Danio rerio: one gene and its partners. The protein of the gene in region 2 binds, or shares a complex with, the protein of the main gene of each other region. Links are inferred from orthologs where the notes say so. Each region holds a gene or a part of one and is shown on either strand. Other genes may lie near its edges.

What was found.
Region 1: fbxl13 (region 2) and drc9 share a complex: the UniProt entries of both Homo sapiens proteins name them as parts of the nexin-dynein regulatory complex. The link is inferred for Danio rerio from reciprocal best matches to the Homo sapiens genes FBXL13 and DRC9.
Region 3: fbxl13 (region 2) and drc8 share a complex: the UniProt entries of both Homo sapiens proteins name them as parts of the nexin-dynein regulatory complex. The link is inferred for Danio rerio from reciprocal best matches to the Homo sapiens genes FBXL13 and DRC8.

Annotation. Positions count from the first base shown.
Region 1 is NC_133193.1:29,337,669-29,342,061, forward strand, and holds the start of drc9 (dynein regulatory complex protein 9), read right to left. Parts: upstream 2,921-4,393; 5' UTR 2,781-2,920; coding exon 2,682-2,780; intron 1-2,681. UniProt on the Homo sapiens protein: Component of the nexin-dynein regulatory complex (N-DRC), a key regulator of ciliary/flagellar motility which maintains the alignment and integrity of the distal axoneme and regulates microtubule sliding in motile axonemes.
Region 2 is NC_133200.1:19,757,446-19,761,098, forward strand, and holds part of fbxl13 (F-box and leucine-rich repeat protein 13), read right to left. Parts: intron 3,548-3,653; coding exon 3,438-3,547; intron 3,359-3,437; coding exon 3,260-3,358; intron 3,178-3,259; coding exon 3,082-3,177; intron 1,603-3,081; coding exon 1,327-1,602; intron 1,232-1,326; coding exon 1,131-1,231; intron 1,050-1,130; coding exon of another isoform or gene 1,047-1,049; coding exon 917-1,046; intron 640-916; coding exon 541-639; intron 1-540. UniProt on the Homo sapiens protein: Substrate-recognition component of the SCF (SKP1-CUL1-F-box protein)-type E3 ubiquitin ligase complex.
Region 3 is NC_133192.1:12,696,677-12,700,945, reverse strand, and holds the start of drc8 (dynein regulatory complex protein 8), read right to left. Parts: upstream 2,804-4,269; 5' UTR 2,788-2,803; coding exon 2,766-2,787; intron 2,456-2,765; coding exon 2,371-2,455; intron 2,241-2,370; coding exon 2,168-2,240; intron 2,079-2,167; coding exon 1,999-2,078; intron 13-1,998; coding exon 1-12. UniProt on the Homo sapiens protein: Component of the nexin-dynein regulatory complex (N-DRC), a key regulator of ciliary/flagellar motility which maintains the alignment and integrity of the distal axoneme and regulates microtubule sliding in motile axonemes.

The DNA of each region.
Region 1 (4,393 bases), on a different chromosome or scaffold from region 2:
AGATTGGTTGAGTCTGGAATTTTATGTGTCCCTCTCCCAAAGGGCGCCCGTCTACAGCAGTGATGGCGATGGAGGAATCACAGGAGGTTAAGGGAATGGAGTGAGTGGTGGCAAACGTGTAATCAATAAAGTTGCCAGCGGCTCCTGAATCGATCATGGCCATAGTCTCAATTTCATCTCCATTGTTTCTCAGAATGACAGGCAAATTCATAACATTATTAGTGGTAGTGAACATAGTGGTTGCACTCACCGAGACGGTTTTAGGGAGAGGCTTGTGGGGACATAAAACCTTCGTATGACCTGGAAGTCCGCAATAAATGCACAGGTGATTTCTTCTCCGTCGTTCTCGCTCCTCTGGGTTCAGGCGGGTTCTACCCAATTGCATGGGTTCAGCGGAGGTCTCAGGGGATACAGGACTGGAAGCAATTGAGCACAGTGGATTGCGAGTGCGGAGGAGAGTGTCTAACCTTATAGAAAGTTTGATTAGTTGATCCAGTGTTTTTCCCTCGTCACGACATGCCATCTCTTTCTGCAATTCTGGTTTTAAAGCCGTTCTGTAGAGCGTGGTAAGCGGATCATCAGCCCAGCCAGTTTGCGCTGCCAAGGTGCGGAACTGCAGTGCGAACTCAGCTGCGGAGCGATCTCCCTGTTGGATGCACAGTAGCTCCTCGCCAGCGTTGCGACCACCCTCCGGATGATCAAACACAGTGCAGAAACGTTTGAGAAAGTCATTAAACGAGGGAAATATCGGGGTACTGTCTGGCCAAACTGCAGTAGCCCAGTCTAGCGCTTTTACAGTGAGCAGTGAGCACACAAAAGCAATTTTCCCATTCTCGTCCTTAAACAGATGGGGCTGTTGGGCGATAAACAGTTTACATTGCAGTAGGAAGCCTTTACATTTTGCTGGGTTACCTGAGAACTTGTCAGGGAATGCCAATCGAACTCCGGAAGTCATCGGGGGTTGTGCAACAACAAGTGGACTTGGAGAGTAGTTGGCGGTGGGTTGCGCAGTGGCAGCAGCTTGCAGGTTTTGTAGGGATTTCACCAGTTCGTCTGTTAACTGAGTTAGATGTGTTAGTTGTTGTTGGTAAGTAGACAATACCTGAGCTTGTGCTGTGACTTCGTGAGACAAAACCTGGATGGCTGCGGGATCCGTGTTGGGCGAAGTCTTCTGTAACGGGGAGACTGACATGGAGGGATCCATTTTGCAGTATTTATTAAGTCACACTTAAACATCAACAACTCGCACGGCTGTGCGGACATACAACATACACATCAAAGGAGGTTTAGCAGATAACAGACGCAGAGTGATTACCAGGCTTGGGTCAGAGGCAGGCAGCGTGATTCAGAGTCCATGTAACAGGCTTTGGTCGAGGGCAGGCAGCGAGAATCAGAGTCCGAGGAAACAGGCTTTGGTCGAGGGCAGGCAGAAGACAGAGCAGAGTCGTGAAACGGGCTGAAGTGGTAAACGGGAGATCAGGCAGGATAGAACGCTCAGAAATGCTGGCCGGGGCTAAACAAGACTTCGCACTGAAGTGTGTGTGTGAGCTGCTTATATGTGGTACGTGGGTCATTAGTGGAATGGAGAACAGGTGTGCTGGGATCAGGGTGAATGGATGACGTAATGGTTAGAAGTCCGGAGATGGTGACCTCTGCTGGTCAGCGAGGGGAATGACTGGGACCGAGTCGGTGACACAGACGTTGGATTTTGGTTGCCATACCTGATGAATAAATGTCAGTATTTGACGTTAATATGACTTTGGTTTAAGATGTTGGCTCAGCTGTGGATTTTGGTCTCTTTCTAACAAGCTACAATCGATAAAATATCAACGTCATTTGACGTCATTATTGGATATCAAAATAACGTCCTTAGACACTGGCAAGACATAGAATTTTGGTCACCTGACATCACAACCTAAATCAAACATAATATAATTTTTTTATGACGTTGTGGGCATACTGGACAATAACTATGCACTACAGAATGTCACATTTAAACACATGCACAAATTACATGTACACGCATTAGCTTTTTACAGCACTATATATATATACATATAATTTTTTTGATTTTTTTTTAACACACACGCCTCACCTAGAAATGAGCACTGGTTAAATGATCACCAGTGCTACCTCCTCATAATGTGCTATATATATATATATATATATATATATATATATATATATATATATATATATATATATATGAGAGTTTAGTATGTTTGGGAGTTTAGTCTTCATAAGACTTTGTAGAAATTCTGTTAATTAAACTGCACAACCCAAAAGAAACAATGATAATCAAACGGATATGAGTCGGCTAACTATTGAATTGATTTTATTTTATTTGACATTTTTGCATTATGAGAAAAAAGTGTCGTTATGGATGTGACAGCTGTGAATTTGACCAATTATTTGACCAAAACCAAAAAGTGTTACTTTGTGCCCCGCTCTACCCTACTAAAAATAATTTCATGACTTGAAACTGTTTAAAATAATGTTTAACGCAACAACATCATATAATAGCCTATCAACCAACAAATCCTAACTTTGTTTAATTCACCAATAATTATTGGCCATGACACTAAATATAAAACATAATTTAACAAGCATATCGGGCATAACCGAGCAAATGTAGCAGGAAGCAGATTACTAAATGTCCTAAATTTGATGTTGTTACTCACAGTCTCCGCTCCGGGGCGTATAATATTTCCTAACACTGACAGCTGATCAGCGCAATCCTGCAGCAAAGCACACGCTCTGAGCTCCTCCACGGACGTCATACTGCTGATTTGGGCTATATAGAAATTTAGATAAATATATAAATAAAATTAAAAGGTTTCTTTCTTTTAATCCTTCTAAACAAAGAGGCAAATCAGCCGTGAAGAAGACGCTACACGTGCAGCTGTAGCAACAGCGTCCGTCGTCATGACAGCACGTCTTGTACACACAGATCCGCTCCGTTTGCTGGCTGTTCTTACAACAGACTGAATTAATTTACGTTCATGAACATCATGTTTTGACCAGTTTTCCATGCATTTTTTGTCTGCTAGAAGGTGGTTTATTGACAAAACTGACTTATTTTGACATTTTGACTTATTTTGTTTTTCTTTATCTTAAACATGCTGTTCATTGGTAATGTTCAGGACTTCTAGGTATTTTTATAGGTAACCCTTTTAAGATTTATAATCAGTAGATTTGTCTACAATACTCAGTTTTGGGCTGCACGGTGGCACAGTGGGTAGTTCGCCTCACAGCGAGAAGTTTGTTTGTTCGAGCTTCGGCTGGGTCAGTTGGCGTTTCTATGTGGAGTTTGCATGTTCTCCCTGTGTTTTCGTAAGTGTGTTTTTTGGGTGCTCCGGGTTCCCCCATAAGTCCAAAAACATGTGGTATGGGGAGAGCGGGGGACGTGTAACACTTTTTGGTTTTGGCCAAATATAAAATATATGGTTAGACAAACCATATTTTTAACCAACAACACACAAGCCTCTCCTACAAATGAGCACTGGTTGTATGATCGCCGGACGTATGTGCATTGCCAAAAGTGCCAGGAGTAAAAAATACTATTTACCCCACCTGTGGGGCAAGTTGTGACAGACAGAGTTTTAGTTGTAACATATGCTTATAAAGACATATTTAGTATTGCAGGTTTCAATGCTGGTTTTGCTGGTATGGATGCTTGTTTTGCTGATCTCGATGCTGGTCTTGCTGAAACCAACATTGAGACCAGCAAAATCAGTATTGAAACCAGCAAAACCAGCATCGAGACCAGCATTAAAACCAGCAAGACCAGCATGAAAACCAGCGAGACCAGCAAAACCAGCATTGAAACCAGCAAGACCAGCATCGAGACCAGCAAAACCAGCATCGAGACTGGCAAGACCAGCATCGAGACCAGCAAAACTAGCATTGAAACAAGCAATACCAGCATTAAACCCAGCAAGACCAGGATCGAGACCAGCAAAAACCAGCATTAAAAACACCAAGAGCAGCATCGAGACCAGCAAAACCAGCATTAAAACCAGCAATACCAGCATCGAGACCAGTAAAAACCAGCATTGAAACCAGCAAGACCAGCATTAAAATCAGCAAGACCTGCATACCAGCAACAATACATACCTTACCAGTATGCTAGGTTTTTTTTTGTTTTTTTTTTTATAGCAGGGATAGTGTAAGGCTGCGTTTTAGCTGGATTAGCTTGTCGGCTGGTCATTATAACTACAATTTTTAAAGTAGGCTACCAAAATATTTGCTAAAGATTTAGAATAAAGAAATATGAATAAATATTTATTTTTAATATTCAAATTTATTACATCATATTTCATTATAATTTTTTAAAAATCTGTTAAAGTTTTAAACAAAAACTGTTGTCTATTGTCACTTATGTAACAAATTG
Region 2 (3,653 bases):
AAAATGTCAATTTAAAAGAACTGAAAACCAACACATCAAATAATATGGTTGTGTTACAAGAACTCCATATACATATACATTACATACACATATAAAATAGTGTTACTTTAGGTATTTTAAAGTGAAATTAATAGTACCGCTAGAATATTTGTGGCAAAAGCTTATTTAAGATCACTGAGTTGAATATTTTTATATAATTTTGTCTGACACTACAAAACAAATATCTGTTATTTATCTGGTGTCCGAATTTTGTAATTCACAGGTGTTTTACAAATGTTGTAATGTTTATGAATTTTATTATGGACCTTGATCTTTGTTCTGTCAATTTACAGCGTGTTTATCTATTTGTGTTTGCATTGTGAGGATTTGCAGTACAATATTAATTTATGTTTCTGTAGTGAGGCTTTGCAATGTGTGTCAAACCGACTAAGATGTTTTCCTAATTTGCCGGTATTTATTTATTTATTTTTTTCTATTCGCATGTGTCTTCTTAGGTTGCAGCACGTTAAGCTCTCTCGGGCCACAATAAATAACACTTACCTGCACACAGATGTCAGTTAAGGTGGGAAGATCATTCAACACAATCTGTTGAAGTGAATTGCAAGTCTCTGCAACACATGTAAATCCATCCACAGTTATCTAAAAGTACAAAATGAAAACTGTATTTGATCACTCTGGGATAAAGTCAAGAGTAGTTAAATGTGTAATAAAAATAGGATTGACTAACTAAGTATTTCTTAGAGGACATGACATAACTTTGAAAAACTAACTTTTGGGTACCTTTATTTATAATCATGTAGTAGTAAATTAAATATATTGTATATTTGCATCATATAACCAATAACACCAACTAATAGAAAGCCTAAGATACTTTTTTTAAATGATACAGTAGAATAGTTTGCAAGTCAAAACTAACCTGGGAGCAACCGGAGAGGTTAAGATGGCGGAGTCTGCGACAACCCGTCCCTGTGGTCAGATACTGCAGGTCTTTATCAGAGAAATGAATGCAATATGCCAGATTCAGAGACCGCAGCATCACACAGCATCTACTAAAAACATTCAGTACAGAAAAAAACTTCAGTCATTGTTGAGTACAGTCTGAAGATCTGAGAAACATAAGACTTTTGTACCTTGCCAGGACTTTTATTGTGGCGTTGGCAATGTGAGTGCAGGCCAGATTAAGACTGAGGAGAGACTGACATCCCTCTAAAATCATCTTCATATTTTCATCCTGTCAGTGTGTTTTCAAACAAAACACACGCCAGTTTTGAAGAGCCGAAAATTAAATAAGCAGAAAACTCCTAAGACTATGAACTGTATACTTGCATTAACAGTTGGACATTCACTGAGATCCAGTTCTTGAAGATTCCTGCATTGACCTTTAAAAACAAAAGTATTCTGTATCTTTATGAGGTTAACAAAGCAGAAAATAAATGCAGTTGTTTGGTAAATGAAGGTAAATGTACTGATGCGTCTGAAACTTAGTCTTTGCACCATGTTGCAACCACACAGGTTTACAGAGATCACATAAACACGGTGAAGCCGCAGGATTCTCTCCACCATCTGATCTGTGATCCAGCTGCTCTCTGGAGAGAAATCAATCTGTGGAAATACATCTCACAGGTTACACTGTATATGAAGCCTTTAGCACACTTAGCAAACGACACTATGTCAAAACGACATAAACAACATTTTAAAAAACTCAGCAACAATGCTAATGCGTCCATTTGACATCTACACACTGATGATTACACTGGATTATATTGTAGATTGTAGATTGTATCCTTACAATGCATGTACAGTAAAGTACCTTATTGTCAAAACAACATCAAATTGACATCTTACATTTGCATAAAAACACGTCAAAAAATCGATTACAGGATAGTTTTTGATTCGTCTTCTTCTGAGTTAACATTTATAAAAGTCTGGTCTTAAAGTATTCCTAAAACTTGAAGCTTAAACTACCAAACTCACATTAGACAGTCATTCTGATCAACATGTTTATGCAATATAACTTCTAAATGATCCTCAAAATAAAGAAATCCCAAAGACTTTCATTGCCAGGCTTTAACTTTCAGATCTTAAGCTACTTGCAAACTAGAAAAGCCTATCAACTAGCATACAACGTGCTAACCATGCAAGAAACATGCTTGCTGGATAACACTGTAATTTATGCTGGAGACATGTTATTTGCTATCAACTTTATGCTTGAAATTAATTTGTGCTAACAGTATAGTGGAATTTACATTAGCAGCTAGCTTATTGTTAGAAGCATAAATGCAAATTCACTAATAAAGCATAGTTAACATACTAATACTTTTTATTCATATTAGAAAGATGGTATTTTAAATTATAAACATGGTAACAGCATGCTAATTGCTAACAACAAGATATGCCAGTTCATGTTAGATACATATATTTAAGTTTGAAACATGTAGATTGTTGTTTGAAATATGCGAGCAACATGCTAATTCATGTGAGAGGCACACAAACAAAAGTCTAGCTAGCAACATACAGTAATAGTGCTTGTTATAAAATAAACAACATGCTAAATCATGTTACAAACATACTAATTCATGTTAATAATTTCTCTAACATCTAACAACATAAAAATTTAGAAATCTTTGTCAAGACAACATTAAGTTTTACCATAAAAATTTCCTCATTTTGATTTCCAATTGATATAATATTTTTTGTCTGTGAGTTCAATGGGAAATAAATCTTGTTAGCTTTTACCTTAATTCCACATAAGAAGGTAATTTAAATTTGGAACATGAGGGTTCAATGAGGGTGATGTTAAAGCATTACTAACTGACATTTCATTGAATCTGCCTTGTATTTAATGAGCATCTTATATTTTCATGCATTGTCACAAATGAAACAACACTTTCAAGTGCAAGTACACAATATGCTTTAATATAATTATTAATATAACATCATTGTGTTTAAAAAAGGGCAAATCTGTTGATTTTCTTATATACTTTTACTATATTCTTAAAGATTTTATGTATACAAATATTAAACATGCACTTCTAAATTCTAAAGGGAAAATTTGACAGTTTTTAGGTCAGCTGCACTAACCTCAGTCCACAGTGAGCTGATTTGAGTGATTGCTTTCCATGATTGACAAACCTGAGCACATTTCAGCAGGTCTCGCACACCTAGACTTTGGAAGATCTGCACCAAACGGTTCATTTCAATCACAGCTGATTGTACGTTTTTGCCAGTTATTTAACAGTTAGTGGTAGTCAAATGATACCTTGAGAAACAGCCTGTTGGGCAGCAGTGACAGATTGTCCTGTCCATCACCCTGTGGTATGCCTGAGTTCTGGCTTTCCTTCATATCTCTTTCTAGTTTCTGAACAGACATGTATAATAGCTGAATATCTCATGAATTCAATGCATTTGGGTTTAGCTGATTGTTTTAATAATTATACCTTAAAGTATTCCTTTGTTCTTTTAGCGTCCTGCACAACATGACGCCAAGCCGTGATGATTTTTCTGCAGTGTACAGACTCTTGAACCTTCTGTAGTTTCCTCTCTGCATCTAGATAAATTAAAGAATGCCTTGTTTCATGATATATAGAGAGAACAGAAATAATAACACACTAAATTTATATGGTAACATGCAAACTAGTAAAAAAAAAGCATAT
Region 3 (4,269 bases), on a different chromosome or scaffold from region 2:
ATAGGACGAAACCTGCAAGAAAAAAGAAAGAAGCAGAGCTACAATTATCACTAATACTAGGCTTTGTATTAAATTTTATTGTGGGAAAAACTTTAGCAAAGTAAATATTTATTTAATCAAATGTTTATTTTATTTTAGTTTTAAGTTTTTACAGGTACTGCAAATTATGTTAAAACACTTATAGTCATATACTGTACGTCTCAGGGATGGATTTAGTGATTTTGGGGCCCTAAGCTGTTCCAGCCATTAGACCCAAAAGTTCTAAAAGGCACCTTTTGTACTTTAATTTTTTTATTATTATTTTGCTGTTATTTCTTATATCAATCAATCTCCTTTTCTACATTTTATCTTAATGCAAAATAATAATAACATGTAAAGCACCTTATAAAACTTTTTAAATCATTTGTTTTCTTAAGATAAATTCACTATAAATAAACAATTTCGTTTTTTAAAACTAAATCTTTACTGATTTGACAGCTGAACTGGTCCATGATTGAAGGTAGGGGAAAATATGATAGAAAGCAATGTTATATATAATATTTATATGTATAATTTATAATTCTAGGTATTTATTTGGGAGCCCTCAGATTAACTGGGGCCCTGAGCGGCCGATTAACTTGCATATTGTTTAAATCCACCCCCAGCACATCTACATGTAGAGGCAAAACATTTGTCTGCTTTAGACACGACAACACATTTTATTAGTGAGATTTTGGCTCACACAGGCCAAATATAGAAAAAGGGAAATCCAAATATTTCCATTGCTCTCTGGTCATTGATTGCAGAACATTTTAAAAAGCCCTGCTCCCTCAATGTTATCGAAGAGAAGGTAAGCGTTTAATTAATGTTTTCTTATTTATTCATTCTTTTCGGCTAAGTCCCTTTATTTTTTATCGCCACAGCAGAATGAACCGCCAACTTATCCAGGATGTGTTTAATGCAGCGGATGCCCTTCCAGCTGCAACCCAGTGCTGAGAAACATCCACACACACTCATTCACACACATACACTACGGCCAATTTAGTTCATTCAATTCACCTATACCACATGTCTTCGGACTGTGCGGGAAACCGGAGCACTAGGAGGAAACCCACGCCAATACAGGGAAAACATGCAAACTCCACACAAAAATGCCAACTGACCCAGCCAGAGCTTTAAACAATGACCTTCTTGCTGACAGTGCTACCCACTGCGCCACTGTGTCGCCTTGTTTTCTCGTTACATCAATTGTTGATGTATATACGGAACATTTTTTAATAAGTTTGCTTTTATTTGGATGCATGCCATTATGTGCTTGCAATTGGGTGTGTAGGAACTGTGGGAATTATACGATCCGTGCAAGTTGATACCTTGGACATTTTGGCTTCATCTTCTAGCACTATATATCCATGTACAGTTGAAATCAGAATAATTAGCCCTCCTGAACTATTAGCCCCGTTGTAAATGTTTTCCCCAATTTCTGTAACGAAAAGAATTTTTTCAACACATTTCTAAACATAATAGTTATAATAACTCATTTGACACATCAAACTGATTTATTTTATCTTTGCCATGATGATGATTTTCAACATACTAGTATTCAACTTAACGTGACATTTAAAGGCTTAACTACATTAATTAAGGTAATTAGGCAGGTTAGGGTATTTAGGCAAGTCATTGTATAATAATGGTTTGTTTTCTAGATAATCGAAAATAAATATTGCTAAAGGGGGCTAATAATATTGACCTTAAAATGTTTTTTTTTTATTAAAGACCATTATTTTAGCCAAAATAAAACAAATAAGACTTTTGCTAGAAGAAAAAAAAAATCCTTGCTCTGTTGAATATCAATTTAAAAATAACTGAGTAAGAAAAAATTATTTACAGGACAGCTAATAATTTTGAGTTAGACTGTATATAAATATATAGATGCATTTGTGTGATTTATCAGTCTGTGACCTTTTAAAAACATTAAGAATAATCTGGGTTTCATACTGTTTTATTTCATTACAGTCTTACTTGCGCTCCAGCAGGATCTTAGTCATAGTTGGAAGAAACTTCTCATAGCGCACAAATCCAGTGGGTTCTTCTTCTTCTAGCTGTGAATGAAATGACACTTCATAACTATTGATCTACTCAACTTACAAGAGCGATGCATTTTATGACCCGGCAAAACAAAACCACTGACCTCAGAGATGATATCATGCAATTCAGCTTCTGAAGGAAAACAGCCAAGTGAACGAATGATGGTGCCTATTTCCCTTTTACGGTGAAAAATGACAGATAACATTAAAGAAGTCTTCCTTGTTTGTAGAACATGTGCAGAACAAAGCTAACAGACATCAACAAATGGTCTAATATATTTTGAAAAACAGCGTAGTGAAACGTTACCTGACATCAACAGTCTTGTTGGATTCATGGTCAAATACATCAAAGGCATTCCCAATCCTCTTTTGAGTTTCTATTATAATATTTTCTGATAAAAAATACATTAATTAACGTTGTGTTTTTCCGCATTTTTATTTTATTTTGTGTGTGTGTGTTTACAAAGCAATTCAGCTGTAGATGTTCGCTGTCTGTGTGGTCTTTTACTGTTACTTTAACTACTCGACGTTAACAAACAACGTTACTGAAAACTTTTCAAACATCATTGATCTGGTAACAGTCGTAGTAATGGCAACTGTATTTAAAAACACGTCATGCTGAGAATACAAACACCATTAATAAGCATACAGTAAGCCCACAAACGTAAAAAAAGCGTAGCATTTTACGTGTAGCATCTTTACCTGCATTATACTTGTCCGCCATGTCTAAAACCCTGGTTGCTAGGTAACCTGAACACACTCGCCATTCAGACGGAGGGCAGGAAGTGGTTCTTCTACGTAGGAACCGCTTTCAGAAGTTTAAAAAAATGTTTCTGTTTATGCTGTTTATGATTGTTTAAATCGACCAAAATAAGAAATGCCGAACATCTTTTATAGACTAGCAAAAGTTTTTGCTCACAAAAGGGGAAAGTTCAGTACTGACTAAAAAAACAGAAGAAAAGGAAGAATGTAAGGAACATTTTTATACATCCTTTGTACAAGCATGAACGCGATTATTCGTTTGAAAGCACCAATAAAGAGTACATGTCTAAATTACCTATGTGTATAAATATGTCAGTGTTAAATAAAAATCAGAAGCACTTATACAATCCAGGAGAATATATAGGCTAAATAGTACCTGCTATAGTAATAAATAATCACATAGTCCAAACACTAATATTTCAGAGTTGCCAAAATGCGTGAAAGTCACGCAATTGACCGTATTCTCACGCTCTCACGCCACACATCAGTTTTCTCACGCAGTAAAATCATCTCCGTGAAATATTTATTCCGTTATAAAAAAACTCCCTATGATGTATGTAGCCTTGCTGTAGTCAACCTAAAACCTACAGTAGGTTGACACAAAACCAAAACAACACCCATTCTTGTCTTAGGACATTTTATTTGGCAAATGTTAAAATAACAGTAAGTTTATGACATGTTAAATATATAGTATAATTTGCTGGTTTTAAACATACAGCATATTAATAATAATAAATATAGTATAACAATCATAACATAACATCAAATGTTGACTAATGAAGGTACATTTATAACAACTATTTATTTGTTAGACTACTGTATTGTCAAACCATGTTGCATACAAATGCATTCAACAGACCTATATGACAGTGCATTGCTGTAGAGGACAAATAAAACGAGACAGGTGTTTAGAAAGAGTATAGTTTATTTAGTTTGACATGCAAACTTATCTAAACAAAGACACACTTTCAGAAAACAGCCCGAAAACATTATAATGCGCGCGCTCGTGATTATAACCCGCGGTTGTCTTCAACTGTTGTCTTCAATAGTCCTTCTTTGCTCAAAATCTCAGCTGAAAAACAAAGCAAAACATCACAACAGTCAGACACAGAAGAGCATAGAATTACCATGAGGCGACAATCTACAATTTGGGAAACAATAACGCGCTTTTTGAATAAATTAAATAAAAACAAAGCAGCTGCTTTCCATCGCGACAGCAATGACGAGCGATCGCTATCACTTCAAAATGGCGGAATCCGGGTCTGTTGCTCTTGGTCATTGTAAGCTCTTTGCATAAAGTTAAATCATAACAGTTACCATGGTTTCTATTTCAAACTATATAGTAAACTAAAGTTTGAAACTATGGTTTAAAATAGAAGATGAGTGGGCCTCGCTACTCCCACCCACCATAACCCTCGCAGCGAGGTCCCACTACCGGCCCCCC